Regions from separate parts of the Mus musculus genome. Here all the other regions are reported to be linked to region 6. The links are microRNA targets in miRTarBase. Many come from high-throughput screens and were not tested one by one. Region 6 holds a microRNA gene; each other region holds the end of a gene's coding sequence.

The links. The annotated mature microRNA mmu-miR-342-3p reads UCUCACACAGAAAUCGCACCCGU and lies in region 6 at 2,333-2,355, shown strand. An mRNA with a match to its seed (bases 2 to 7 or 8) in the 3' UTR can be bound and repressed. Matches are read on the target gene's strand: a 7mer-m8 pairs with bases 2 to 8, a 7mer-A1 pairs with bases 2 to 7 and ends in A, and an 8mer does both.
Region 1: miRTarBase lists Pax3 as a target of mmu-miR-342-3p. Seed matches in the 3' UTR shown: 8mer at 2,749-2,756.
Region 2: the mRNA of Scamp1 is a reported target of mmu-miR-342-3p. Seed matches in the 3' UTR shown: 8mer at 2,673-2,680.
Region 3: miRTarBase lists Atl2 as a target of mmu-miR-342-3p. Seed matches in the 3' UTR shown: 8mer at 1,802-1,809.
Region 4: miRTarBase lists Wdr59 as a target of mmu-miR-342-3p. Seed matches in the 3' UTR shown: 7mer-m8 at 2,951-2,957.
Region 5: miRTarBase lists Sema6d as a target of mmu-miR-342-3p. Seed matches in the 3' UTR shown: 8mer at 2,926-2,933.
Region 7: miRTarBase lists Rapgef3 as a target of mmu-miR-342-3p. Seed matches in the 3' UTR shown: 8mer at 2,863-2,870.

Annotation. Positions count from the first base shown.
Region 1 is chr1:78,099,693-78,103,761 of GRCm38, forward strand. Pax3 (paired box 3) reads right to left here. Exons shown (of 8, transcript NM_008781.4): 8 at 1,575-3,882. The coding sequence ends at 3,616. Among named protein-coding and RNA genes, the nearest start is that of Pax3, 95 kb to the right of the region's middle.
Region 2 is chr13:94,200,354-94,204,422 of GRCm38, forward strand. It overlaps Scamp1 (secretory carrier membrane protein 1), which reads right to left. Exons shown (of 9, transcript NM_029153.1): 9 at 1,080-3,810. The coding sequence ends at 3,646. Among named protein-coding and RNA genes, the nearest start is that of Scamp1, 83 kb to the right of the region's middle.
Region 3 is chr17:79,846,525-79,850,593 of GRCm38, reverse strand. Atl2 (atlastin GTPase 2) reads left to right here. Exons shown (of 13, transcript NM_019717.3): 13 at 316-2,204. The coding sequence ends at 435. Among named protein-coding and RNA genes, the nearest start is that of Atl2, 48 kb to the left of the region's middle.
Region 4 is chr8:111,447,152-111,451,220 of GRCm38, forward strand. It overlaps Wdr59 (WD repeat domain 59), which reads right to left. Exons shown (of 26, transcript NM_001170742.1): 26 at 1,633-3,928. The coding sequence ends at 3,693. Among named protein-coding and RNA genes, the nearest start is that of Gm24793, 30 kb to the left of the region's middle.
Region 5 is chr2:124,664,813-124,668,881 of GRCm38, reverse strand. It overlaps Sema6d (sema domain, transmembrane domain (TM), and cytoplasmic domain, (semaphorin) 6D), which reads right to left. Exons shown (of 18, transcript NM_199241.3): 18 at 1,093-4,069. The coding sequence ends at 3,573. Among named protein-coding and RNA genes, the nearest start is that of Sema6d, 13 kb to the right of the region's middle.
Region 6 is chr12:108,656,348-108,660,416 of GRCm38, forward strand. It overlaps Mir342 (microRNA 342), which reads left to right and starts at 2,273; the gene lies at 2,273-2,371. The region is part of intron 3 of Evl (Ena-vasodilator stimulated phosphoprotein); the gene reads left to right.
Region 7 is chr15:97,742,241-97,746,309 of GRCm38, forward strand. Rapgef3 (Rap guanine nucleotide exchange factor (GEF) 3) reads right to left here. Exons shown (of 28, transcript NM_001177810.1): 28 at 2,530-3,426. The coding sequence ends at 3,308. Gm33531 (predicted gene, 33531) reads left to right here. Exons shown (of 4, transcript NR_168677.1): 2 at 1,254-1,347; 3 at 2,540-2,628; 4 at 3,586-4,069. Among named protein-coding and RNA genes, the nearest start is that of Gm33531, 3.3 kb to the left of the region's middle.

The sequences.
Region 1 (4,069 bases), not on the chromosome of region 6:
AGAGTTCAGAGCCCTTAGTGTGGCTTGTCCCAAAAGATGAGAGCTGGGACTCCAGCCCAGGGGAGGTCAGGCGTTCGATTTCTTGGAGATTGATTAGACGAAAAGAAAAATCAGAGCAAGAAAGATCTATGGAGACTTTGAACATGAGAACTGCCAACAGAGCAATAGTTTCGAAGACATCCAGAAATAAGAGAAGGGCATAAAGACATATATCAGAAGGAGAGCTGGGCCCCACATGGCAGGTCCTGGGGTCAGGAGGCAGGCAGGAGAGGGCCCTGGGAAGACCAGCTTCTGTTGTGAAATCCGAGTCCTGGCAGCATGTCTCCATGCACCGAGAAGGAATTACTTTTTTAAATGCCTGTTTTCAACTTGGGTTTTGGCACAAGACTCGTATAATGCAACGAGTATCTGAAGCAGCTTTTGGAGAGGTAAAATTATGTGGCCCCTACTCCGACGTTTGGTAGAAATTGAGCTTTGCTTTTGCTGCTCCTACGTGCGGTATGAGCCCAGCCTAACCTAACAACTCTGGACCTGGGTCCACTTGGCTGTAAAACAGAGCAAAAGACACTCACCTCACAGGAGTCCTGTGAGAACTGACAAAAAGCAAGTGTTTGGTGACAATTATCTTCCTTTTCTACAACTGTATTATTTAAATTTTAAAAAAAAGTAATTGTCAGAAAAAGAGCAACATGGTGGATCAGAAGGGCAAGTGGAAGCTGAAAAGAGTATAGGCATTTTTAAAATTTGGAAACTTTTACCTACTGTATATCATTTCCTCTGGATAGTTAAAATCCCATGTGTTTTAAATCAGCTGACCAACAGAACTCCCTACCACAACGTTCTAGAATGTTCTACATCAATGCTACCCAATACAGCAATTTCTTGCTACAGATGATTGTCACACAGTTGAAATGACATCACATGAGACATTGAGAGGAGTAAGTGAATACAAGAGTTTAGTAGGTGTTGATTAATCGCCTTATAATAAGTAACCATCCAAATGTATTGAAACAGAAGTTCAACCCCCTGACTCATCACGTTGTGCCGTCGCAATGCCAGTGTCTAGTGTTACACCTGCCACATCTAGACTCTCATGAAATAAGTGTGGGGAGGAATAGGGGAAGAAGAGAAGGAAAGGAAAACAATGACAGAAGTAGACTATTTCCTTCCAAGGCTGAAATGAGTTGCTAAAACAAAAGTCTTTAAAATAAAATTTTCAATGTGGAGAACTTTGGGAGATGAAGTTAGATCCTGGTGTACTGAGATACATATTTATAAATGAGGCTGAAAGGAATTGACATCTCCGAGAGAACCAAAGAAACCAAAGAGGGTAGATGGAGAGGGAGGGCGCACTTCTAGATTCCACATCCCTGATATTGTAAACTCAGTCCTGCAGAGTGTGTTTAAGCCAGCGTCTTGGGTTTATATGTAACTCTTGTCCATGTCACAGTCTCATGTACCAGGGACCAGGAGTAGGATGGGTCCACAGTGCCCAGCTTAGCCACCTTTCTCATTCACTCTGCATTCCATCCTCAGCACCCCCCCCCCCCCCACACACACACAAAAGCAGTGTTGGGCACATTTTCATTAACTGTTTATTCATTATAAATAGTAAATATTTACTGCACTTTTTACATGAAAGACATTTTTACAACACATCATTGTTGGTTGAGGCTGCAACACAAAGATACTATGTCTCCTGTTCCATCACCCTGCCCAACGTATAAAATAACTCAGTTCTATGTCTAGTCCTGCTAACACACTACCTCATTGTTCTTAAATCTAAAGGGAATGTATTTGTGCCTACCTCATTCATGGTTCCAAGAATAGAAAGAAATAAATAACAGCACCGCCCACCTTCATCTTTCTCTTAACATTTCAAAACACAGATTTATTGACATCCTAAATGTCACCACATGAATGTATGTAAACCTGTTCCCTATATCCTTTAATATTGGGTATCGTTGTATAATTTAAAAGTACATGAGAGCCACGTGGACATTTCTGTTCTAGCCCTGCCTTTTGTAGAAAAGAGACGAATGTAAACACCATCTCTGTAGAGAGCTTGATTCTCAGACATGGTCTCTGAACAAAAGGAACAAGCAGGATGTGAGTTGTTTGGCAACGAGCAAACATCACTGCACTCTACTACGATGAGTTATGGGCTGCAAAAATAAAAACACCTGCAAAAATATAGTTCTGATTTCATTTCTATCACCTTGGCCATTGCCAAAGCATCTGTGAGGTACACAGTATTGCACGCTGAGAAGCAGATATGTGATGGGTGTCACTTCCTCTACATCATACCCTTCCCCCCCCCCCACCAACTGGCCTCCAAATCAATGTGACTTGGGAAGTAAATGACATCCATCTATCCCCACAGCAGATAACACACTTTTTTCTCATTATCCCACATCTTTTTACAAGACATGTCAGGGACATCGGTTGATAACTAGGTTACAAATGAAGGTATGGTAATAATTTACTGGGGAGATCCTTCACATCTAGTCTAGTGCCCTATACAATGGTGGTGTTGGTTTTCATATCGGTTTCCAGTGTGTCAAAATCAAGGATTTCTCCATTCCCAATTCACTACATAAGCAGTGTGAATGTCATAAACTTGGTCAGCCTTAGACATCAAACCTGTTAACTTTCAGGAATTCAACTACAATATATGGGAACATTCTGCTTACTCAAACCACCCCGTGAAAATCAATCTCTCTCTCTCTCTCTCTCTCTCTCTCTCTCTCTCACACACACACACACACACACACACACACGGAATGTTTTAGCTTCTTTGATCAGCAACAAAGATTTGGGGCCATTTTGATATGTAGCCAGTTACATCACTGTCTTAAAAATGGTGCATTTTAGAGCTCTGGGTCTTCCTTGTCTCCCCTGCCTTTTGTCCAATATGTTCAAAGAATCTGAAAGCAACTACTGGAGAAAGAAAATCAATCTCTTTTGTCTCCACCTCCCCCAAAAGCTGAATTTTTTTTCATTTATTTTTTGTTTGTTTTTAAATTTTTTTTATTGTTTTGTTTCTGAGAAGATTCTTCATGTCTAGTCTGTGGAGGCCGGAAACAGGGCTCCAAGTGGACAGTTCACTTATGCAATATCTGGCTTGAGATAATGAAAGGCACCTGTAAGGAAACACACGCAGCTTTTTAGGTCATGCTGGGACAATTCACAGTTAGGGGCAAGATCAGCTACAGGCTGACAATGTCATATTTAATACCACGGTATCAAAGGATCGAGACTAATATTTTTATTCCTGAGACAAGTTTGACACAACTCTGTGTCCTGGGCTTATCCCCATATGATCCTGGCGCTGACCTCATTAAGAACATGTGTTTCTAATGCTAGAGGTTATTTCATTTTGGCCAACCTCTGTGTTTTACCTACTGACAATCCGGTTTTCCGTCCCAGCAATTAATAACTGCAAGATGTTATTGACATCAGTTAAGCAAATAATTACACAAGGGAGCCTGTGCTGTAGCAATCAGCTGTCTTTGCCACAAAAAAATGATACTGGGATGAAAGGCTTAAACATGCCTCCAGTTCCCCGTTCTCAAGCAAGAGGTGATCTCTCTCCCTTCCAGGAGGAACTACCCCCTAGAACGTCCAAGGCTTACTTTGTCCATACTGCCCATACTGGTAGCCTGTGACAGGGTCCATACTGTAGCCTGCGGTGCTATAGGTGGGGGGACAATAGGGCTGAGATGTGGGCAGACTGTCCACATTCTTCATATGTTCCAGTCTCTGACTGCAGCTGGCTGACACCGTGGTCGTGGGTTCCAGGCCCCCAGTGAGAGGGGAGAGAGCATAGTCGGTCTGAGGCTGGTGCGGTACCCCACCGTGGTTGGTCAGAAGTCCCATTACCTGCAATGATGACGGGCAGAGCAGAAGTTAAAATGTGGGCAGAAACAGATGGCAGCCCCAAAAACAGCGCAAGATCTTGAAAGGCCAACTTTTATGTCTCTAGACAGCCATTGAGGAGCTTTTCTGAAGGCTTTGACCCCAATTCAAAGTGGCAGCCACATGACCTCACCCAAGATAACATCTGACG
Region 2 (4,069 bases), not on the chromosome of region 6:
AAATATACCCAAATCTTCTTACATAACTATTTCATTTTCCTAATCATTGGAGTGCAACTTACTAGTCTAATAAACAATATATGTAAAAAAATTTATGTTTACCTAAAAATTATTTTAAAAATGAAAAACAGCTCAAATATTTTATACTGTATTGTTCTACTATAAATAAATTTATAATATGATGCTTGAAAAACCTATCTAAGTAAGGTCTAGAGTAACTTTAGCCATTCTGAGTTATTTTAAACTAACCGGCCCCTCGTCTCTAAATGGCTTACTAACATGGAATCACAGACCCCTTTAGGGATTACTCCTTAAGGGAAAATGGAAGGGAACAGAGAAACAGTGTGTCCCAGATGTGATGAACTGTGGAACATAAGCAGAGATGTGACTACGAGTCAGCCGTCAGCATCAGCGTGTCAGGATGGGCACAGTGACACACAGCAGTGCTGCCAACAGACCTGCAGGGACCACTGTCAGACAGCTCACATCCCTCAGTATAAACCGCATCCACAAGATCACAGGATGTCCCTACGTGTCAAAATCCAAACTCACTTTTTAAAATGAAAAAAATGGAAAATACTGTTTCTTATTTCAATTCAACATGTATTTCTCAAAATAAGATCCGCTGTGAACATGACTTGACGTTAAACTTTTCATCACTGTTAGTCACCAGGTAAGAAATCCAGTAGACAACAGAACACCCCTCTGTGTGTACAGCAGCAGCGGAAGCTGGCGCAGGAAATCGCATGGGTTTAGTTACCAGTACGATGCTGGCATGAAGAAAATCCTAAGCCAAAAATGTAATGAACTTGTAGGTAATCTTGCCTACCTCACAAGAGTCCCAGCATTTGATGTGTAGGGCTCACTGTCAAGCACCTATCAAGGTCTAATGCAATGGGAAAGCTGTTGGATTGTATTGCTGAGGGTTTTACACTAACTCTTTTATACTATATTTAGCATGTGATAAAACAGTACAAAGATTGGTTTTAATAAAAGTCAAATAAGTATCTGTATTAAAGCTACAAGTATAATTTGTGCCTCAACTGCTAATACAGTATTTAAAATTATACAAACAAACATCCAGTAAACATTATTTTATTTTATGACACTCTGCATTAATACAATAAATATACAAAACTTCCAAACCACTGAAAACATGCAACATGAGAGGGCCACATGGAGGGCGTTTACACAGAACCGTGACATACCACAGGGGCAGCGCAGTAGTACACGCACCTACACAATACACAAACATCCCTAGAGCAATGAACCGAGCCCCAAATCACAAATCACCAAGCAATCGTTTCCAGTGATCAGACCCGAGTTTTAAATAAAACAGTCACCATTTAACATCGCCAACTAAGACGTGACATGGATGCCTGTCCTCGTGCAGCTCGTCTCATGGCTGCAGTAACATTGGGATTGAATAGAAGACGTCAACAGGCTTTCACCAAATCACAGTGCACTGCTGACAGACTGCTGCTGAGAGGACAGCAGGTAAGGGCTTCGAGCCGCTCCCACCTGACCCAGCCACAGACACCACCATGGCTGTAAAGCTCCTTTGTGTTTTCAAACAACATAATCTCTTTCAAACGTGTATGAATCCAAACAATTGGATTGAAAACAGCATTTTCCTTGTTCATACGCAAAAACATAATGTGAGTTATAACTATTCTTTTCCATTTAATAATACCACCTCTGGGGACCTCCACATAATGGACAGGGAACATTCCCAATTTTGAAAATAAAAAACTATTAGCATTTTGTGAATCTCTGATGTGTCTCTTATTTGTACATCAGAGAAGAATAAGCCTGGATTTAGAATATAAGTACTGGTGTTTCTGTGAACTCTTACACCCTTAGTGACCTCAGTGTCCATCAAACCACACTGGATGAAGCACAGTCGCTCAGCAGCCACACATGAGCAGGTGAGAACGAAGGGGAATCCTACTCATGGGGACTCAAAACACAACTCCAAAGTCATACTCTGAATTCTACCTTTTCCTCAATCAAAGAAACATTTTTGGACTATTGTACTTAGTAAATTCCCAAGCAAATCTAGCATGGCCCTGCATGGGCAGATGTATAATCCAATACCACAGACCTCAAGGAACTGCACCCCAGCTCTGCACAGAGTCCCCGACTGCAGCCTTGGGGACAGGGTACAGTGGCTCAGCCACTCACTTCAGCTCATTTTTAAAGGATATCCTGTCTTTGACAGCCCATCTTTGTTTAAAGTCAACTTGGGTAAGTTGCAGCCTATCTATCATTTTGCAATCTAAACTAGTGAGACTTCCAAACTACAACAGTCTGCCTTACAAATGTTCTTGAGACAGCTAATCAGCATTAAAAATGATTAAAAGTCTCAACCCACATCAGTTTGTGCTGCACCATAACAATGTAAATTGGATGTTACCAATAATGAATATATTACTTGAGCTTTCTCTCCATTGCTTGGTGCAATGTTTCACATGGATTTAGTCTGTCTTAAAAGTAAAAGACAGGTACATTAAGAAATCAAGCATATTAGAATCACAAGGGTCTTTTATTTTTAATGTAACTAAAAGTGAGAGGCTAAAAGAAAAATCCCTTAAATACTGTGTGTTCTTTTTATTCAAGGGTTAGGCTAGCCTTAATACCTGTGTCAAAATCAATCTCTCTCTCTCTCTCTCTCTCACACACACACACAAAAACAAACACACACACACACACACACACACACAGCTGCCAAACACAAATCCTAGTTCAATTAAAAAGATAAGACAGAAGAATATATCAAAGTTTTCATACAGTAAAACTTTACTATATGAATACTAAAAATTAAGAGGGAAAAGAAATTATCACTATATTCTATTGCATCAATTCACTACCCTCTCTTTGGATAATGCACTGCACATTATATTAAAGTCTTTATACTCCAGTAAATTTTTACTTAAAAGAAACTATTACAGAAAATCATTTCTGATTCTATAAAGAGCCCCAGATCCTACAACTATAAGCAGTACAGAACCCAAAATACTAATTCATTTCACTTAAGAGACGTGGTGCCCATGCAAGATCAGAGATTGTTATCAAAATAATCAACTAGTCTAAAAATAAAATAAAGGAAGGTAAAATATACATTATCTACTACAGAGCACACAGGCTCTTCTCTGGTGACTGAACCTCATATAAAGCAAGCCAATTTAAAAACACCCAAACTTTTGCTGACCTTGTTCCTTCGTTATTAATAGAGGGGGGAAAAGAAAGAAACATGGTGTCATGTCCAATGTATAGTCTGAATCTCTACTGACTCCTGGAAGAACTTCTGTGGTTACTATCGAGCGCTTTTTAAATCTTAAGTCACATACTCATTTCAGTGTGTCACCACTGAAATAATCTGAGGAACACCATCCCCCAAAAATATGGAGAATATTTATTTAGCAGGTGATAGTTTTCTTCTGTGCAGAGCATGGAAATATTAAGAAACTATTAGGCAAAGTAATAAGACAAGGAAGTTTCTCTGGTTTTTAGACCATGCACATGTGGATTGGAAATACCCATGCTTTTGTGTATTGTGTGTTTCCAACAAAAAATATCTGTAGAATACAGTAACTGGAGAAAAAGATACAGTCCTAAGGAAACAGAGAACTGCTTCCAGGCTCGCTACATCTGGTTACCCTTGAAGGCGTTCTGCGCCGCGCTGGTTGCTGCGGTTGAGGCGGCGTTTGCAGCCGCTGTCTGAACAGTTTTATTGGACATCACTCCCGTTGCAAACTCTTGCTGGGCCTTCTCAAAACTAGCACCTGTTGTGCGGTACAGTCCATGCACCTGAGGAGGCAGAACCAAGGCGAGATGGTGAGATGCGATCCACACATTTGCTCAAACCACCCTGCCGTGTGCGAGGACCAGGCAGAGGTCAGAGGGGAGGTGGGGGGAACAGAAAAGAAAACCCATGAAATCAGCTTTTTACCCTAGGTCCAAAATAAACACAGGAGATGGCCATAGTGGGATTAACGGCGACACAGCGCCTTCAAAGACAGTAGCTGCCCTGTTCGGTCGAAGCAGACCAGGTTAGTCTATGCACTGG
Region 3 (4,069 bases), not on the chromosome of region 6:
TGTATACATACCAGATTTGATGCTGCACATAGGGTATGGATTGCACATCCGTCTCATAGGATTTGTAAATGGTTTGAGTAAGAGGAAAGTAACTTTCGTTGCATTATAAAATGTCTTAACTGCATTGTTTGTAGCATCATAACTTTTTCTTTCTTTTTCTTTTTTCTTTGTTCTTTTGGGAGAAGCATCTTTTTATTTCTCACATTCCTGATTATTTTTGTCATTAATTTAAATTGAATTTTTTATATCTGTTTTTATATGTACTCTTTTTTTACCTCATGCTTTTGTTTGTTTTGCACATTTCTCATACCACAGGTATTGAAGCCCCTGGGTGATAATTTGATGGAGGAAAACATAAGGCAGTCTGTAACAAACTCTATCAAAGCAGGCCTGACTGACCAGGTGTCTCATCATGCCCGATTAAAGACAGACTGACAGTTCATCTGCTCATGGACTCCACTCTCCCTTGTTCATGCTTGCTGTACAATGAGAACTCAGATAAAATAAACCAAAGTTTACAATCAACTGTAGAAGTAGTTTAGTGTAACTGGCTTCACAGATGGCCGCCACAGAGTGTGAACGTTGTTTGTTGGTTTGCAGCCTTCTTTGCTGTCTCCTTAGACTCGGTGACTGCCTGAGGAGCATCAGGTTATCATGCACACTTGTGCCATGGTTAATTCTTTTCTTTCTTTTTACCGAATTCAATGTTAGTGAAATTTGTCTTATGTAAAAGGATATTTCAGGGAAATATTTTAAGAAATCTATTTAGAGTCTCTTTAATATAGTGTCCCATTGAAATTTTAATTTTTAGAGAATTTATGAATCACTGTATCAAGAATCAGATGGGAATGACAATGAAGCCTTTACCGAGCCACTACATTAAAAGTGTATATTGCTTTACTGCCTTCAATTGCCAGTATTACATAAATGCATGTTTCAGAAACTTCACACAAATCACATGAGAACTCTTGTAGCTGAGAAGGTAATTCTGAGGTGTACATTTGTCTTGCCTTTTTAAATTTGTAAACCTGCCCTGAAAGGAGATGCATTATCTGGGAAACTGAACTGTCTTTTTGCAGTTTAGCCTTCATGTACATAAAATATGCCATTAATTTTATTGGGGGAAAAATTCCATCCAAAAATGTTGCCTACAGCTATGAGTTAAGAGTGTCTACAGCGTGTAGCTTTCATTTTCTAAAGATTACAGGTAGGGCATGTATATGAATTATAAATATATAAATACAATTTTGTATTAAAAGTTTTGTAGTTTATGGCAAAACCTGGTTCTGTGGTAGGCTACTGAGTCCAGTCCTGTGACAGGAGTGTTTGTGGCTCGTGTCACTGTGTGAACGCATAGACAGTGTGAAGTTTTGATATATTTGTGATATTTATCTTCCCTGAGCACTGCAGTCTCACCCCCAAGAGAATTCAATGGGAATGTTTTATTGTGACTTGTCCTCTGTTGCATTTTAAAGTTATTTCCTGTAATTTATTTTCAGTACATAATTAAAAATTTGTTGTATATATAAAACGAAAGTTGTGATTCTTTTTTAAGGAATTCTTTCAAGTGTGTATCTCACCATATAACATTGTTCATGCTGAAAGAGGGTGGGTCAGGGTGCACCGAGTTAGAGCTCAAGGTATTGTACTTTAAAGCTGAGCGTGTAAAAAGTTATTTTTCGTGTCTTTTTATGTAAGGGATATTTTTTGTGATAATCTATCTGGGGATTTAATAATTTTAATCTTTTCTCCATCTCTTCCCCCACTCCCATCGTGTGTGTGTGTGTGTGTGTGTGTGTGTGTGTGAGAGAGAGAGAGAGAGAGAGAGAGAGAGAGAGAGAGAATGAATATGTGTGTGTTTGCGTGTGGGCTATATATGTAAAGCTACCATTTTTCCAGTACTTATAACCTCCTTTACAGAGACCTATTAAATCGCTCCTATTTGGTTTTTAAGAGAATTCAGATGTTGAGTTGCATGCATGAAGGTCTGAGTTTGCTTTGATTGGCACACTTCCCTCCCACTCTGACCCAGTCCTACTTTATATGGATTGTATTTGTTTCCGTCTGTGGTAAGCAGCTGCCTTCTCATCTGTTCCTACACAGAACGAATCCATCCGAACAGTCTCTCTTTCTCTGACCACTTTGTTTTATGAATGCTGTAAATTGTTTTTATGAATGAAAAATAAAAAGTTTGTTGTATACTAGCAAGTGTTCTGAAATTAAAAACTTACACAGTTTAAAACTCCCCCTCCTTTTTTTTTCTTTTTAAAAGTAAAGTCTAGACCACTGGGCGCTGTAGTGTTTCTTGCTAAAATGGTGGTTTTCCTCTAGAAGTATCTTCAGGACTCCAAGGAAGACTTTAGTTTCGTCTGGAAGGCCCTGGCCATTGTTAGGTAGAGGCAGAGCAACCAGAACAACAGAAGGGGCCAGGGACAAATACCAAAATAACACTGGAATGGGTGCATTTTCTGTGCTACAGTTTTGGGTAATGATACAAAATAGGTTTTTCCTTTCTTTTAGAGATGAAAGGTTTTTCTCAGTGACAGAATTTATCTTTTTAAGACACATCTTGCGAAAGGAACAACCTTTGGGGCTCTGATGGTGAGTCTCATCTTTCATGAGTATAGATTGCTAGTCATCTTTGCTTCTGTAAACAACTTATTTATAAAATTAAATTGTGTTATCTCACTCATGAGGTTTTTTGCTTTCTTTTTAATGATGTATTTGTGTATCTGAATGTGGGTATGTGCACCTGAGTGTAGATGCCCACAGAGTCCAGAAGAGGGCATCTGGTCCCTCTGAACTGGAGTGGTTGTGAGTTGCCCAGGATGGGTGCTGGGAAGAGAACTTGGATCCTCTGAAGAGCAGCAAGTGCTCCTAACTGCAGTGTATAGTTTCAAACACTGAGCAGGGGCTTATTTTGCTTGCGGAATTGAACCACGCAGGCTAGAGACTTCACTTCTGGCATGACTGCTTTTTTAAAAGTTTAATTTTAGTTAAGGACCTTTCAAGAAACACCTTTAAAGAGGGTGTTTGATCTTGGTTCCTGTACAAATACCTATAATGGGGCTCGGGAGATGACTTAGTGCTTGCTGTGTAAGCATTAGGGGTAGAGTCTGAATCCTCAGAACCTACCAAAAGCTGGAATCCCAGGGCTCCTATGGCAAGATGGGGAGCAGAGACAGGTGAAGGCCCGGAAGTTCAGGCCAGATAGCCTGGCAGATGCAATGGTATACAACAGTAGTATACAACCCCAAGGTAGAAGGCAAGAACCCATACTGAAGTTGTTGTCTGACTGCTCCACACCAGGGCCTGCATGTCAGCATTCACACATGGATGTTCTCTCTCTCTCTCTCTCTCTCTCTCTCTCTCTCTCTCTCTCTCTCTCTCTCTCTCTCTCTCTCTCTCTCTCTCGCTTTCTCTCTCCCTCTCCCTCCCTCCCTCCCCCTCCCCATGTGTCACTTTTCTCCCCATCTCCCAAGTGGCCTTTTAGATACAGATCTGGTTTTAGCCAGGTAAGTAAGAAGGCAATTTTGATTGGCTGCTTAGGGCAGTGTGCCTCTATCACACACTTAGACTTTGGCTTGAAAATTAACAGTCTGAGTCCTTTCCTGCTAACCCAAGTGAGTTTATATGTGCATATTGATTGTCCATTCCTGGGATGACGAAACTCATCTTGGGAAGAATTGGCAGCTGTGTTCTGCCAGCCATCTTTGTTTCCCCTTGGGAGTACCTTATACATCAAATTACTGTCTTGTTTGAATTCTGTCTTTAGCCTCTGTCCATATCAGATAACTTCCAGGGAGTTTTTCAAAAGTTAATTTGTAATCAAAGCCAAATTGGAGCCAAATCTGAATCAGGGCAGAATTACTGCCTTATTGACTTTACTCTGATACTGGGCCCTAGGAACTTCTTTGGATATATATATATATATATATATATTACTGGATTTAGGCAGAGAAACTGTCCTTAACATATTGCAACAAAATACCTATGTTCTTTCTGCAGAGTGACTTCAGGAGCTCCTCAAAGATCTAGATCAGAAGTCACCAAAGATTTTTCTAAAAAA
Region 4 (4,069 bases), not on the chromosome of region 6:
CTGGCAGAATGAAAGGCTGTTGTCTCCTTAGCTCCTGCTGCATTAAATCCCCAAAACAAAACAAAAACCCTAGATCCCTCCCCTCGATTCTACTAGCCCTTCAAAGCAGCACTGGGAAGGGCTGCCATGCCCACTGTGGATCAGCAAATGCAGATTGTATGCATCTATAGAGTAGAAAAACTTATTAAAATTAAGCATAATGGACTCTCCATAGTGTCCATGAGGAAAGTGTTAAGTCCTGTGGTCTGAGCAGCTTGAGGTGGGAGGACAAATGCAAGCTGGTGGTCACCTAGAACGCATGGCCCATTCTGCTTGGCAGGGGGCTAAAGAGCCCCTGGTACCCTGGACAGCTAGCACTGCTTTCCCATGGCAAAAAGTTTTTGTTTGTTTGGTTGGATTTGGTTTTTCAGGATAGGTTTCTTCTTTGTGTAAGAACAGCCCTGGCTGTCCTGGAACTCGCTTTGTAGACCAGGCTGGCCTCAAACTCAGAGATCCTCCTGCCTCTGCCTCCCAAATGCGGATTAGAGGCGTGTGCCACCATGCCCATGCCTAGTGTTCTCCCTGGCAAATTCAAAGGTGTTTAGGACACAGGTTATAATATTTTAAAGAGCAAATAAAGCCCAGGTGTGGTGGAATCCCAGCACTCTGGCAGTCAGAGGTCTCAAGTTCAAGGTCAGCTGGGAAACACAACGGTGCCCTACCTCAGACGAGCACAGTAAACCAAACCAAGAGGACTTAGCTATGGTAGAGAGGCTGCTGACCCCACCAGCATCCAGACCACTGTGTTTCCAAACAGGGATATTTCTCACAAATACTAAGTTTTTGTCCTGGTAACTTGGAAATGCAAACAGAACTGACCTATTGAGAGATGTTACATAGTGTCTTGTTTTTATTTTATGCATAAAGAGTGTTTTGCCAGCATGTCTACATAGCATGTGCATGTCTGGTGCTGACAGAGGCCAGAGAAAGGCATCTGATCCCCGGAATGGGAGTTACAAACGTCTGTGGCCTGGCTTATGGTTACTGGGACTTGCATCTGGAAGAGCGGCCAGTGCTCTTAATCACTGAACCATCTCTCCAGCCCCCTATGAAACATGTTAAACTTGAAATGACTTCATAGTCACTAAGAAGGTTTTTTTGTTTTGGAAGACAATGTTCTTACAGAAATAATCCACACAAGAAAACTATGTCATTCTAAACAGGGACAGGGCTTCCATTAGCTTCACGGTGGGGTAGAGGAAGAGACCGCTCTCTGTAAATGGTGTGAACTCACAGAGGACCCAACAGATCTGTGTCTGTGCACATCAGTCCGCCTGTTGTGGGACCAGCATCACGGCAGTGTCGACACAAACGAGGCTGGAGGAGTACAGTGTAATACACTCAGATACCTGCGGCCCTTCCTCCCCCATCCCAGCACACCGGACTACACGTGCTGCTGAGGCACTGGTACCAAACCTGGCACATAGTTCAAGATCAAGCTTATGCCACGGAGTCTCATGACCAATTAGTAATACAGGGGAGAGGTGAGGCCCACCTGCCACCATGAGATATAAGTACGTGTGTGTGTGTGTGTGTGTGTGTGTGTGTGTGTGTGCGCACGCACTAGTAAACAAAGGACATCAGACTGTGTTAGTACACGATTGTCTCTCACCCACATTATTTTACTTTCTTTATATGACAGTTTGGGGGCTGGAGACAAAACAGTTCTGACTTTGCAATCATGAAGATCCAAGTTAGGATCCCTGAACACACATGACACAAGGTGTCCTGAAAAGACTGATAATCCTAGCACCAAGGAACCAGATGGCCTCTTCTGTCCCACACAACATACACTTGAAGACACAGAGATTTACACACACAAAGTAATCCTTGAAAATAGAAAGTGTTGGTTTTTATCTACGAGACTGATTTCCTAATCCATTCATGAGTCTTAAATCATAGTTTCAAACAAAGTGATATACAACACTTACCTATTATGGAACATGTAGTATTTTGTTTTGTTTTAGTTTGAGTGTCAGTGTGTGTGTTGCTGAGGATCAAACACATCACCTCCTGTATGCTAGCCAAGCATTTGATTACTAAGCGATCTCTCCAGATCTTCTTTATGACGTTTGCTTGTAAGTGTCTTCATATATAAGTGAGGCTGGCCATCACCTCACTGTGTAGCCCAGGATGGTCTCAAACTTGAAACCCTCTTACCTCAGCCCCGTGAGTGAAGGGACTACAAACACGTGCAACCATAATCCAATGACACAAATTACTTATGTGTCTCCGGTTAATTAGTTTGGAATCATAAAATTGTTAAATTACATTTTTTGTATGTGTGTGTGTACATTCACATATCAAAGCACACATGTGGAAGTCAGAGGACAACTCTTAGGAGTCAGTTCTTCTATGGTGGCTCATGCGAGGGAGAAAACTGAGGTTAGTAAGCTTAGTGGCAGGCACCTCTGCCCACTGAGCCTTATGACAGGCCCAAGGAATTTAAATTTCTAAGAGAGAGAGATTTCAGTATAGTGGGTCTTGTTTTTTTTTTTAAACTCTCTTCCCTGGTATAGACAAGTGAAACCCCTGAAAATCATGATGAGTTTGCAAGGGAGTTCAAGTAAAAAGTACCCCTGGAGCCCAGCCAGCCTGCCCAGAGGCAGAGAGAGACTCTGGTATCAGTGCTGAAATGCAATCTCATTTCCCCTGTGCTAGAAGAAATAATTATGAGACTCTTGCGGCTAGAGAGAACCTTAATGTCAGATTCCGTTTCCTCTGTCAGATGATCAAAGTCAAATGGCATTTCCTTTACAAGTCATGAGACTAATTCTAGTCCGGTCCAAAACAGTTCCCTTCAACCAGAAGTACAATGCAAAATGAGTCACTAAGACGGTCACTTTCCTTATTCATCCTCTCTCTCTCCCTCTCTCTCTCTCTCTCTCTCTCTCTCTCACTCACTCACTCACTCACACACACACACACACACACACACACACACACACACACACACACACAAGTACAAACTTCTATTAGTTAAAGGAAAGCAGATGAAGAGAAACAGAAAACATATACATCTTAAGTTTCTTATGGGGCTGGAATGTAACTCAGTGGTATGGCTGCTCACCAGTATGTGCAAGGCGCTGAGTTCCAGCCCTGTACCAAGAAAAAGAATGCTGAATATATGTCCATCATATATTACACTTTAGTATTGTATTTTATAAGGCCATCATCAAGGTGCCAACTTCTAAGTCACAGATACCATAGCTCACTTGTGGATGGCACTAAGAGCCAGCGTCTTCTGGCTCAGGAGTCTGTTTTGCAGCTGCTGTGTGCCTTTGTACTGGCATCTGGAGGGTCCATTCCTGGTTCAAGGACAGAATCTTGAAGGCTGATGCTAGCTCTGATGGCTCTGGAAACAGGTGCTTTTCCTCATGAAAACATCCACTGTGGACTCAACAGACAGTACAGGAGGGTCAGCTCTGTGCGTCCCCCTCCCTTCTTCCAGCACCATCCGTGCCCGGCAGCCAAGGAGAAGGGAACACACAGGATCACGAGCGGATGCTGTGACAGTCTGTGAGAGGATACTCTCCATCCTAAATCACGAGGATGGCCCTGGTTCTAGGACTTTCCACCAGCAGCAGCAGAGAGCCTTCTCCAGCACTTATGGAGTCCTCTGGGATTTCCGGAAGTGCCACTGTCCTTTAAGTTCAGAAGGTGCTCTCCAGCAGGCAGTGGCAGCCACACCCCGTGGGACATACCTCCTGGGTCCGAAACCACTCCATCATGTGGCTCGTGTGGCCACCATGCCCACAGGTCAGGCAGAAGTTGGATGAACCCCGCACGGCCACATGGCAGATGGCACACTGGAAGGTGAAGCCTTTGCAGATGGCGCACTGGGTGCCACGGACCTCGCTCCGACAGTGACTGCAGTACACACCAAACTCTGCAAATGGGTGGACAGGGGCAAAGCAAGAGGAGACATTAGTTCTAATAAAAGCAGACTGAGTCTGGCTGGGTAAGGATACCGACTCCTCTCAGGACCCTGTCAGGCTCTGGCAGATCAGTCATTTCTTCCTTCTCTCTC
Region 5 (4,069 bases), not on the chromosome of region 6:
CGTCTCTCTGGACTGTTGGATATGCAAAGGGAACGAAGGCATCTCGTACCAATGAATGAATGCTCAGGTACAGGTGTCTCCAACCCTTGGTTAAAGGACACCATGAAAAGAGTGAAACCCTTGATGGGATATGTCAGTGTCTACTGCTCTGCCTAAGATGCTTCTGAGGTTCTTTGACAAAGGCCTTAGGAGAGCTGCAGGTAGGCTTTGGCCAGGAGAAGCTGTTGGTACCAAACAGGCAGAGGCAATATGACTGCTCTATCAGAGAGGGCATTGTGCCCAACCATAAGGCTAATGTTGGCTGCCCTCACAGCTAGTTGCATGCTAAGGGAAATGAAACAGAATCCTACTTTCACCTCCTACATGAATATTTAGGGAATTCATTTCCTATTGTACAATGGGGTGGAGGCCTTCCACATATGGAACATCGACAAGAGTTTGCTAGTAGTAATTCTCAGCTTAAAGTGCATTTATATTTTATGTGCTAATATAAGTCATGATTTCTTTGTGTGGTATCTTTCCGTGGTATATGTATGTGTGTACATGTTTTGTATAGATTCATGCATGCCACAGTGCATGTGTGAAGTTCAGAGGACATCCAGGGCTATAGGCGGTCCATCTTGAGACAGGTCTCTTGTTCACCAGTCTACACTAGATGAGCTGATCTGTTTGGTTTCCCTGGTCTCTGCCTTCCATCAATTGGGAGCTTTGGACTTATGAAGTGCTACTGTGCTAAGTGTAAACTGCTGGGGTTCAGACTCTGGTCCTCATGACTGCATAGCAAGCATTCTACCCACTGAGCCATCTCCCCAGCCCATAAGGTGAGAACTCTAAATTTCCCTTTAAGTGAATCAAGGTCCAAGATAAGCATTTGGCTGTGGATGCAGGGCTTTATTTAGGTCATGGGGCTTTCTGACCTGCCTGTCTCATTTCTGGCTCCAGCCTTCAACAAGAGTCTTCCAAGGAGAGAATGGAGCATAATGTGACCAGGTAACAAAAATTTCAAGGGAAGAATATGTTCTTAGACTTTAAGAACATATTTAATAAATACGGCATGACTAGCATAAAAGCATGACGCAGTGCAAACCTGTTAACATCAAAAGGCAGGATGTAATGACTTGGATATTTTATTTTGACTTTACATGCGGTGTTAAAAACCCAAAGTACATATTATTTACACATCCACAATACAAGTTTACAAGATATCTATACACGTTAAAGTACTCTATAAAACAGTATAGAGCCACTTCACTTTAGGGTTATTTTTTTATGCCGTACCATTAAAAAAGATACAATCTGTGTTTACCTTTGCACAAATGGATAAAGCATTTAAAATTAAATTAACAGAATAGAGACTAGAATCCATGTTAGAAATTTCAACATAAATACTGATAGAACTCACAGTACAAACTCTAAGGCAGCACAATGTTACAAAATGTTATCGGGGTCACACAGAGTTACCACGCTGGGATTAATATTGGTAAGGTAAATGCAAACAACATTGTTGGTGGCAGATGTGTAGTGCTTATTGTTGGTTGGTTTAATTGATTATTAAACTGTAATATTTTTAGTTGCAAAGCTGAAGGGTTTCAGCTTTGGAGCTTCCAGAAGATCACAGGGAATCATTTTTCTATAGAAAAGAATGTTCTTGAAGGAAAAGATCAACCGCATCAGTACTCTACATCCTGTATAAAAATGATCTGGTGTCTTGTACCCCATCCTCCCCCAAGTAATGCAGACCATGGTCACTGTCCCAAGATATCACTTGAACTCCGCCTGACTGGCTCAGGAGCCTTCCTTAGCTGTGGACATTTCTAGAGTAAGTTGGGTAAATGACTGGGTGATGTGCAGTGGGTTAACCAAAGCTGTCAGTAGGCTACACACCTGCAGCCATCAGTGGGCTCTGCCAAGCTACATAGAAACGACTCTAGACATGGTTTCCGCAGGTGCCACATAACCTGGGAACCCTCATCTGACTTCACATTATCAGAACAGCAGGGGATGGAATGTTTATCATGGCAAGGGTGGGTGCTGCTTCTGATCCTGGAGGGAAGGGGCGGCGTTGCTCAACAACAAATCGCTCTAGGTGGCTTTATGACTGTATAAGAAGTCCTCAGGTGCTGGCTGCAAAACATTTACAAGTGGCACATGGGAAATGATGCTCTGTAGTGGAAACACTCAACATACCGCGGAACTTCTACCACTCGAGTGAATAAGGCACAAAATGCACAGATCCAGGTAAACTCACATGTGGTATTTACAGTTCACTGTCACTGCCTGCATGACTCATGAGCAAAATCCTCACAGGACACACATGGAGGAAGGATCATCGAGAGCTCTACAGATCCTCCCTGCTAAGCCAACTGTAATTCCTGTTCTGTCTGTCTGTCTGTCTGTCTCTTTCTTTTGTCCTACTTTTGGTTTCTCTTTTGCCTTGGGAGTTGGGGGTGAGAGGAGTTAAGAGAGGACATTTTTTACTGTATGGAAAATAAAATAACACAATCAAAATAAAAGCCTGTAAGTGTGTCTAAGGTTGAGTAGCGTGCCCCAGGCTTTGATTCACAGTGGACAGGTAAATGTTACTATTGAATACTGGTAGATACATCAAAGATACCTCTTAATTTCTCTAAGTTCTTAAGCTGGCAAGGCTGGAATAGACGTTCTGATGGATAGCAGCACAAAATTATTTAGAACGCTTAAATGTTCTGACACCGGGTACCATATGTTAATCACTTGACAGTCAAAGAAGCCTTGTCTATTCCTGATCAGAGCCGAACACGATGGACCGGTGTAGGAGGATGTTAGTGCTTGTTCAGTCATGCTTACTGTAAACAACTCCATAGTACAAAAGATGCAATGGGCACCTAAATCAATTCTAATGGGTAGATCTCTCTCTCTCTCTCTCTCTCTCTCTCTCTCTCTCTCTCTCACACACACACACACACACACACACACACACACACACACACTCGCCCCTCTCTTAACATAGTTTGTTGGTGGCATTGAAAAACAAAACAAAACAAAAAAATAAAACAAAACAGTGCCACACTCAGAAAATAAAAATTGCTACAGTTTGGGTCAAAGATTGAATTTTCAGCAAACTGCTTGGTAATCTCCAAGCTCATTTTGTTTTGAGACATTCCCATCTTTCCATTTTGACATTTGTGCAAGAGGCAAGGTGAATGCATACATATTAAAATGTTCACATTTAATGGGAAGACCACACAGAATGGCAGTCTACATTGAACCCATTTTCAAGTATTTGTTCAGTCTTCTGAGTACTGTATCAGCTCTTTACACTGGTGAAGGGAGCCTTCCCTGGCTACACATCCCTTCTGCTTCAAACGAAAGAAATGGAGTGAGCAGGACCTCCCTTCGTTTCCGGCAAGTACACAGAAGCCTTGCTGTAGTAGCTACATGTGGCAAGTTCTGGTGTTACCAAAGTGACAGAGTTTCTTTGGCTACTTGTTTCTCTTAAAATACAAGCAGGTATCTCATCTGAAGGTACCCTCACAGCTTCCTCGCAACAGCAGGGACAGGATAAAGCCACACGGGAATAGCATACTTGAGGCCTAGTACGTGTACTTGTTCAGTGGTCTGACAGATGTGGTTTGCGGAACAAAGGAAGGCTTTGGTGGCACATCAGGTTTTAAGGATGGTGTCCTCTTTAGTCCCGTCCTGGGGAGGGTGCCATTACTGGTATAGCTGCTCTGTCTGGAGAGGGAGGGCTGCAGATGAACACTCACCGGTGTCCCCTGAATATAGTCCACCTTCGCCCCTGTTGGGGTGGGCATATAGCCTCCACGGTTCATACTCGGCTGTCTAGATAACAAAACACCATTTGGTGAGTTTAAGTTTTTAGGCACGGCAGATATAGAGTGCCTCTGGGAGGAATTTTTGTGATAACCCCTTTGTCTTTCCAGAGAAGTCATTGGCACCCCAGGAGTGGTGGGGACATCTACTCTCTTGGTTGGACTATTTCTGGGGAGTGTGGAGGGAGGGGAGTATAGAGATGCCTCCCGGTTAGGGACCTTGGGTGGGACCTCAGCCATTGGTCCCACCGGGTCCA
Region 6 (4,069 bases):
TGAGGTGCATTGTTCAGAGAGAGCTACGTGCATGGTGCATGCAGGTAAAAGAGCTAGGCTGCCAGGTGCATTATCGTAAGAGAGGTGGAAACCAAAACCAGCTAGGGTCATAGGATCCTAAACTATTCCTTATGTTTTCCTGCCTCAAGTTTGCATTTTGTAGGTAACAGAACTAACCCCAATCCTGAGTGAGGCTTATATAGAATAGATTAAAGCTAGGTCCACAACCAAGCATTCTCCTCCTATCCCAGCCAGTCTGGGTCTGAGATGCCATTTCTTCCTGGAGTCTGCGGTCAGAGTGGTGCTTTGGGAAGCAGGCAGGTGCAAGGCATCTTTTCCCTTTTGGTTCTTGCTAATGAAGACTGTGCAGACCTTCGAAGTAGGTATAGTACAGGGCCCACCAACACTTCTGAGAAACAGACTACCATATTTAGAGCTTAGGACTCTTCCTTTTGGCATACGAAGAATACTTTTCCCCCCATGAGCCTGAGTTCCAGTCCCTGCAACAATGGTGTGAGTTTGAATTCACAGGGGAGCAGCCCTGCAATTGCTGATAGCCCATCTGACCTTGGGCACGACCTGAGCCTCAATTTCCCATCTAGAATGCAGTACCTATCAGAAATGAGATCATGAAGATAAAAATAGTAATGACAGGAGTTTTGAAGACAAATAAGGGCAGAACAGCTTTAGCCTGAAGTTAGGGGTCAGCCACATAGTGTGTCCAAGCTCTCTGTGGAGGTAGTGGCTCCTTTAAAAGCATGAACTGGCTACCAGAAGTTGCAGCCTGGGAAATCCTGGATGTTAACTTGGTCTGGAAAGGGGCAGGAAGCAGAGCAGGAGGATGAGTGATCAAAAGGCTGCAGGCTTGAGATTAGGCTGGGCTGATTTCAGATTGTTTCTGAGGAGTACCAGGGGCCAGCATTTTCTCTAGGATTCACTGTGAATAGGCTTGGTCTATCTCCTCACTGTGAACCTGGGTGAAGTCTTAAACCTCAGAGCTTCTTGAAGTCAGCTTCAGTTTTGCTTCCCACAAACCTTATTTTGCTAGAAATTATGAAACTTTTCCCTGGAAGAGATAGAACTCCTAAACTGTTTTTTGCATCTCCCCTGCAGTGGGGATGTTGGCTGTTGGTATGGCTTCCTCTGGGTGTGCCTTTTGGGCCAAGGTCACACTTCCTACCCAGGCTTTGTTTCCAGGCTCTGCTCATTCCATCTGCCCTGCCCCCTACTGGCCACACTGTAAACAGTGGCCCTCTGTGTTTGTCTACCCACCTCACTAAGAGAACCTGAGCTTTGTAACAGTCTCCATGCCAACAATACACAAGTCCCCTTCACACTTTGCTCCTGCTAGGCCTTCCCCACCTCTGACCCCTTCTCCCTCCTCACCTGCCTGACGTAATTCAGAATCCCCATAGTTCCTCGCTCTCCTCAGTGTGCCCCTGTTACTGTATTTTTTTTGCCTCTATCCTCACGGTAACACTTGGCACAGCACATTCGAGCACATGGATTCAGCCAGGTGTGGAAATTAAAGACCGGTCCCTAGAACCTCAAAAGCCAGCCTGATACCTGATGCCAGGTACACCCTGACAAGGCTTGGGGATGTGGCAGGCCTGGAGCTCATTTACAACCCAAAGTCCTTAACACAGTTCCAGCTGCCTTAGACCATGTTTGGGGAGGAAGGGATGTGTGCTGGGCCAAGTCCCAGGAGAACTCTATCTCATGGTCTCCTCCCAGCTCCCTCATCTTCAGCCCATAGATTTACCGTCCCTCTCCTGACTGTATGGACAAACCAACAAGTTCGCCTTGACTTCCCTTTCCAGATAAGGGCCAGGCATCCATCCAGCCTGGCTGCCAGTGCTGTTTACGTCAATGACCTGCACAGCCCTCCACAATGCACCTTGCCTTTGACTTACTTTATGACTTGGCGTAGTGCGCTCTCCTGCTTGTGATATTTCTTATGTACCACTCTGAATGTGGATTCACTCCAGATGCTCAGAGAACCTGGATCCTTCCCAGGACTCTTGGTTGGCTGGGTTCAGTTATTGAGTTTCTCTGGAGCAAGTTGCCTTCCATATCTGTATTTATCTACACCCTAAGAGACTGACATGCAAGTGTTTGTGGTGCATGCATGAGCGAGTGAGCGAGTGGGTTCACCATGTGTTCTTCCATTGTATTGTGCACCTTGCAAACATACCCCTCGCTTCCTGCTTCTGTACCCTCTCCTGAAGACCACGATGAAGCTCCTGAACCGCCAGCACCATTTGCCATCTGTGAAAATGGGCTCAAGGTGAGGGGTGCTATCTGTGATTGAGGGACATGGTCAATGGAATTGTCTCACACAGAAATCGCACCCGTCACCTTGGCCTGCTGAGCACCACCAGAACCAAGAAGCACAGCACCCCAAACCAAGCAGCAGCCCTGGTGAAGTCCCCGTGAATGTGGCCGTGATGTGTGTGAGCTGTGGAAGGAGCTGTGGATGCAGACCTGGGCAGTGTGTGGGGTTTCGATTCGGATTCTGTAACCGCCATGACCAGCAGAGTGAGAGATAAGAAAGCAGTTCAGTCCAACATGCCTAACTATTGGTTCAAACTTCAGGAGTCTGACCCCAAATAATTAAGTTTAGGCACATTTAAGCACAGCACAATTTGGTGCTTTCCTGGTGATAATTAACTCAGTCCTGTATATACAACAAAGCTTAAGATGTGACTACATCAAAACTCTTTGTAAAGTACGTGTGACATCTTCCATAAAGATGAGTTCTGTAGATTGACAAGCTCACAGTAAGAGTCTGGGGAGGATCCTGTGTGGTCTCGGCCACATAGATAGCACAGAGGTCACCAGGCTGTTAACCACGTTTGCTCCCAACCTTCTGGGCAGATAACAGGTTATGTGTCCCTCCCTTTGAAGGGACAACTCTGTGTGTTCAGCATTCCTGGTTCCCTAGTACTTATCTGTGAGCACAGAGACCTTCATACCTCCCACAAGATAGATCTGTTCTCCAGCTCTTTTGCAAAGTACTCACCCTTTCTAAATTTGTTTTTCCATCTGTGAAATGGGTTGTCACACCTACCTCACAGGGGTGTTCTGAGTGCAACACAAGACATTGTGCAAGTTCTTTATCAGTTGAAAAATCACTCCAGCAGCTTGAAATGCCTCTCCTTACAAAGCAGGAGTTCTCATCACCCACTCATGTGACAGTGCTAATAGGAGAGGAGGACATGGTCTCTGTGGGGAGTTTACATGAAGGTCTCTGGAAAGGCCTGAACTTTTTAGGGTGCCCTGCATGGGGACCCTTAATCTCAGAGCATCTCCTTTAAAGTAGTACTGGCTCATCTGCAGTTTACATCCCAGGAGAGAAAAGCTGCCTTCTCCTCCAGCACCAAGGTCACTTCCTCAACACTGATGGCAACATGCTACTGATGCTTCAGGCTTCCTGAAACCCCACAGACCCAATGATAGTATGAGACGGTGATCCAGAGCATAGCTATCTTACACGCCTGTCCTCCATACTCAGAGAACAGACGAGCGAGGTGAGCTACATATAGCCAACACAGGCAGCTCAAGAGGGACACAAACTAGAAGCAGGGGACCCTTCTGTGCCCTAGCTGCCTGCATCTGTTCTACACTCTGTTATAGTTAGTGAACATAGACCCAACACATCTATTTCTGCATGCCCCCATGCCAAGTCTTACTTTCCTTATCTTTGAAGTGGACACAAGGGCTGATGAGATGGCTTAGTTGAGGAAGGGAAGGTGCTTGCTGCTAAGTCTGGCAACCATAGTTCAGTCCCCAGGACCCACAGTGGTGAAAGGAAAGAACCAGCTCCTGAAAGCTGTGCTCTAGCTTCCATACACGCACACGTAAAGTAGACAAGAGGGAGGGAGGCTTTAAGGATCGAAGCGCTGTCATACACAATCTCTGGGGCTCCTGTCCCCTTTGACACTCACATTGGTAGTGTGATGCCGCTAGGACTATAAGAAGTGCCTTAGAGAAAGACAAGAGCCTCCCTTTCCACATTGCCATTGTACATCTCCTCCCTGCATCGTCATAGTATCTCCTGAATTCTCTA
Region 7 (4,069 bases), not on the chromosome of region 6:
ACCTTAGGCAAATCTCTGTAGCTCGGTTCCTCTGACTGTGAAACAAGGTAAAAATAGCCTGAGCTCCTATTCTGTCATCAGATAAAAATATGGCGGTAGAGGGGAAAGCCCGCTGAACAGAGAGCAGAGGCACCATTCAATTCTCAGATGATTATTATCCTGACAAATCTCATGAATAGCAGCCACGTCAGAATGTCTCATTTTTGCCACCTGGGAAGCAGAGTGGTCTCTGTTTCAGGGCTGTTGGGGACAGAGAGCTAAGAAGCCTGTGAAAGCAGCCTGCTCCCTCCCAGCTGAGCTGGGTCACACTTTTGTGCTAATCCTCCTATGGTGGGCAGAATGGCTTAGAGGACAGGAGAGGGCTGGCTCCAACCTATCTACCCCTCACCAGGCATTGTGCGCTGCTAGAGGAAAACCTCCCCTAGCGAAGTCCTAGCCCAGCTCAGCCTGTGGCTATAACCCTTACAGGGACCATAAGGGAAAGGGGAGGGTCACAGACCGGTGCAATGAAACTTCCTTCCGTTCTGCTTCTCCTCACTAGACACACATGCAGACACACAGACACACACAGACACAAACACACAAACACAGAGACATACACACACATACACAAAGACATACACACACACACACACACACACATACACAAAACACACAGATGCACAGACACACATACACACAGAGACATACACAGACACAGACCTACACACACACACACACACACACATACACAAAACACACAGATGCACAGACACACATACACACACACAGAGACATACACAGACACAGACCTACACATACATACAGACACACACATATATCCATAACACACACACACAGAGGCACACAAGCATGCACAGACACACATATACACACAAACGCAGAGACACACGCACAGTCACACACACACTTGGGCCTGGATACATGGTTGCTCAGCTCTTGTCCACACACACTCACACGCCTATGCTCTACCTCTTTAGGTGACAGGTTTTTCAAAGGCTAGCTCTAGGGCTTTCTCCCTTGTCTCAGCAGACCTGTGATCTTGGTCTCCACCACCACCCACCCATACGCACCCTGGGCTTCTAGGGAGCAGGAGCAGGTTCCCCACCCTCTGCCTGAACACCAGGAGCCTGCTGCCACGAGGACTCTGTACTCTGAGCCTCCTGTCTTCCAGCGGTGACCTGGCTCGGACATCCACTCCCCAAGTCTGTGCTCCCTGCCTGTCCAGAGAGTTCTTCTGTCTTTCCCATCAGGCTCAAAGAGGTCCAGCCTGGGGTAGAATGGCTAGGAAGCTGCAGCTTGTCTAAGCTGGAAGACCCACAAGGAGCCCAGACTTCTGATCAGAAGGTAGGTGTGTCCAGCGAGGAGAGGACAACGTCTGTCTCATCGCTGGGCTGGTTTCACCCGAGTCCATGATGGGAGCAGAGCTGAGACTGACAGGCATGGTCTCCACTGCCACACTGACAATGGCTGGGAGGACAAGAATGCTCCAGGGACTCTTTCCTGACTCACGGATGCTTAGGCCTGATTTCATGATTGCTCAGCTTTGGTCTCTTCCATCAGATCTTCCCTCCCTGCCCACGGGCGAGGGAACTGGTTTGGTCATCCCTGGCAGTCAATCCATCCCGAGAGCTGTGTCAGACTCTACTCTGGGAGATGCAGCTTGTCCTCCGGGGCCACACACACAGGACTGGGACAGTCACTCTGGGAAAGGCAACACCTGCTGTCTTGTTTGTCACTTAACGACCAGATATCATACCCATATTACAGATGGACAAACGAAGGCCAAGAAAGACCATTGGTACACCTGGGTTCATTAGACCTGAGGTGTAAAGTCCTTGCCAACAGCTTGGATCTCTCCTGGGAGCCCGCTGACATGACGTCAGAGTGAAGTGTCTGGCAGTGTGGAGGCCAGGGGGGGAGGAGTGTGTCAAGTCTGAGCCTTGCCACTGCACCCGTAGGACAAGAACAGGGCTGCCCCAGCTGCCTCCGGCCCGCTGCTGTGAGCAGACCTCCTCAGACACCTGAGAGTCCTGCTGCCTGGAGTTTACACAGGGTCATCCTAGAGGCTGGGAGCTTTCAGATCAGATGCGTCTAGAGCTGCCAGGCTCCCAGCACGGAGAGTAGAGAGGGCAGCAGTCCTCTGTGGAGGTTCTAGGCCTGGATCTGTGTCCAGGCAGGGACTGAAGAGGCCGGGAAAAGAGGGCCTTAACCTCCACAGCCCATGTGGGATGGGGGGGGGGGGCGTTGGGGGGGCAGGACACTCATCGCCAAGGTGAAGAAATTGGTTAGGCCTCCCAGTCTTCTGTCTAGTCTCTTCTCTCACCCCCTTGAGGCCCCTGCTCAGCATCTGACACCTAACAGGATCAGGAGCTATCTGCTGGGAGGGGAAAATAGAGGATGTTAGCTGCAGCTGGACTCTCATAGTGTCTCTCTCCGTCTCTGTGTATGTGTGTGTGTGTATATATATATATATATATATATATATATATATATATATATATATATATATGGTTTTTTTTTTCTTTTGTTTTTTCAGAGAGCTGAGGGTCCCCCAAGTGCCTGGGACAACACTGGAGCCCATCTGAGCAACCGCTAGCCTCCCTGGAGCCCAGCCCGAGATAGATGGTGGGTGTCTGCTTTTCTGTACCCAGGGAGCAACCTCCTCCACCAGCTTTCCCAGCCACACACCCAGGCGGTAGAACACACACGTATCTTTGTTAATTTATGGAAACAATACAACTCCTCTGAGACCACCGCTCTAGGCAACAGCCCTGCCTACACCCAGCTGTTTATCTCAGATGTGTGGAGAGAAAAGCAGAACTCTCCACCCTCTCCCAGGCAAGGCCCCACCCAGGGCTCTCTCACACACACACACACACACACACACACACACACAAACTGTGCAGATGTGAGCTCACTGGCCCCAGTGAAAACAAGCACGAGGCCTGGCGACCACTGGATGGTACAGCTGCACGTACAGTCGTACAGACTTGCAAACATGCAGATGTACAGACGTGCAGATGCGCAGAAGGCCCGGTGGGAGGGCTCTCTACTGATCCAGAGTCCTGTACCTCCCAGCTCTCCTACCCACGGCATGGCCTCAATGTCCCCCCTTTCCTTGGCCGTGAACAAAGATCTCCATAGCTGACAGTCATCACAGGGACAACTGCCCCGACACTGCCCACTCCAGGGCCTTGAGTCCGCTCTGTGGAGAGCCCTGCCCAGCTGTGGCTGGCCTCTGGACCTCTTGGTTGCACAGGCTCTGGCTTCCTCGGAGAGAGTGCCTGCTCCAGCCAGTCCTTCCTCATGGTTCCAGCTCCCGGGAGAGGCGGGACAGTTCCCGCTGGTTGTCAATGACCTTCAGCTGCTGGACATAAGCCCAGGTGCTGGCTGGACTCCGGGTGCTCAGGGACTGCTCAGAACCTGGAGGAAGGGAGAGCCATCAGAGAAAGAGAGAGAGAGGTGCCATGGTCAGGTCACCACGCCTACCTCTCTCTCCGGGGAGCAGCCTCAGCTCTCTCCCCTCCCCTACCTCACATCCTCTCAATCCAAGTCCCCAGACTACTGTCTCTCCCACCACAGAGTCAGGAGGGCAGTGGATGCAAAGTCTGAAGAAAGAAGGTCCCTCCGCCCACCAAGATCTATCTCAGCATAGTACCCCTTCTCTGGGTCAAAAGGAACTAAAACAGACTGGATATGGTGGTGCGCGTTTATAATCCGGGAGCTTCCGAAGCTGAGGCAGGAGGATGGAGAGTTCCAAGCCCTGTTTCAAGAAACAAGAAATGGCCAGGCATGGTGGTGCGTGCCTTGACTCCAGCACCCAAGAGGTGGAGGCATGGGGATCTTTAGGAGTTTGGAGCTAGCCTGGGCTACATAATGAGTTCCAGGCCAGCAAAGCCAAAAAGTAAAGCAAACAAAAGCTGGAGGGATAGCTCAGGGCATGAACTGCTTGTCCTAATAACTTGTCTGTAATTCCCATGCTGAAACAGTCAGATCGCTGGGGCCAGTCTGACAGCCCAGGACACTTGTTAAGTTCCTGGCCAGTGAGAGCTTGTCTCACAAAGAA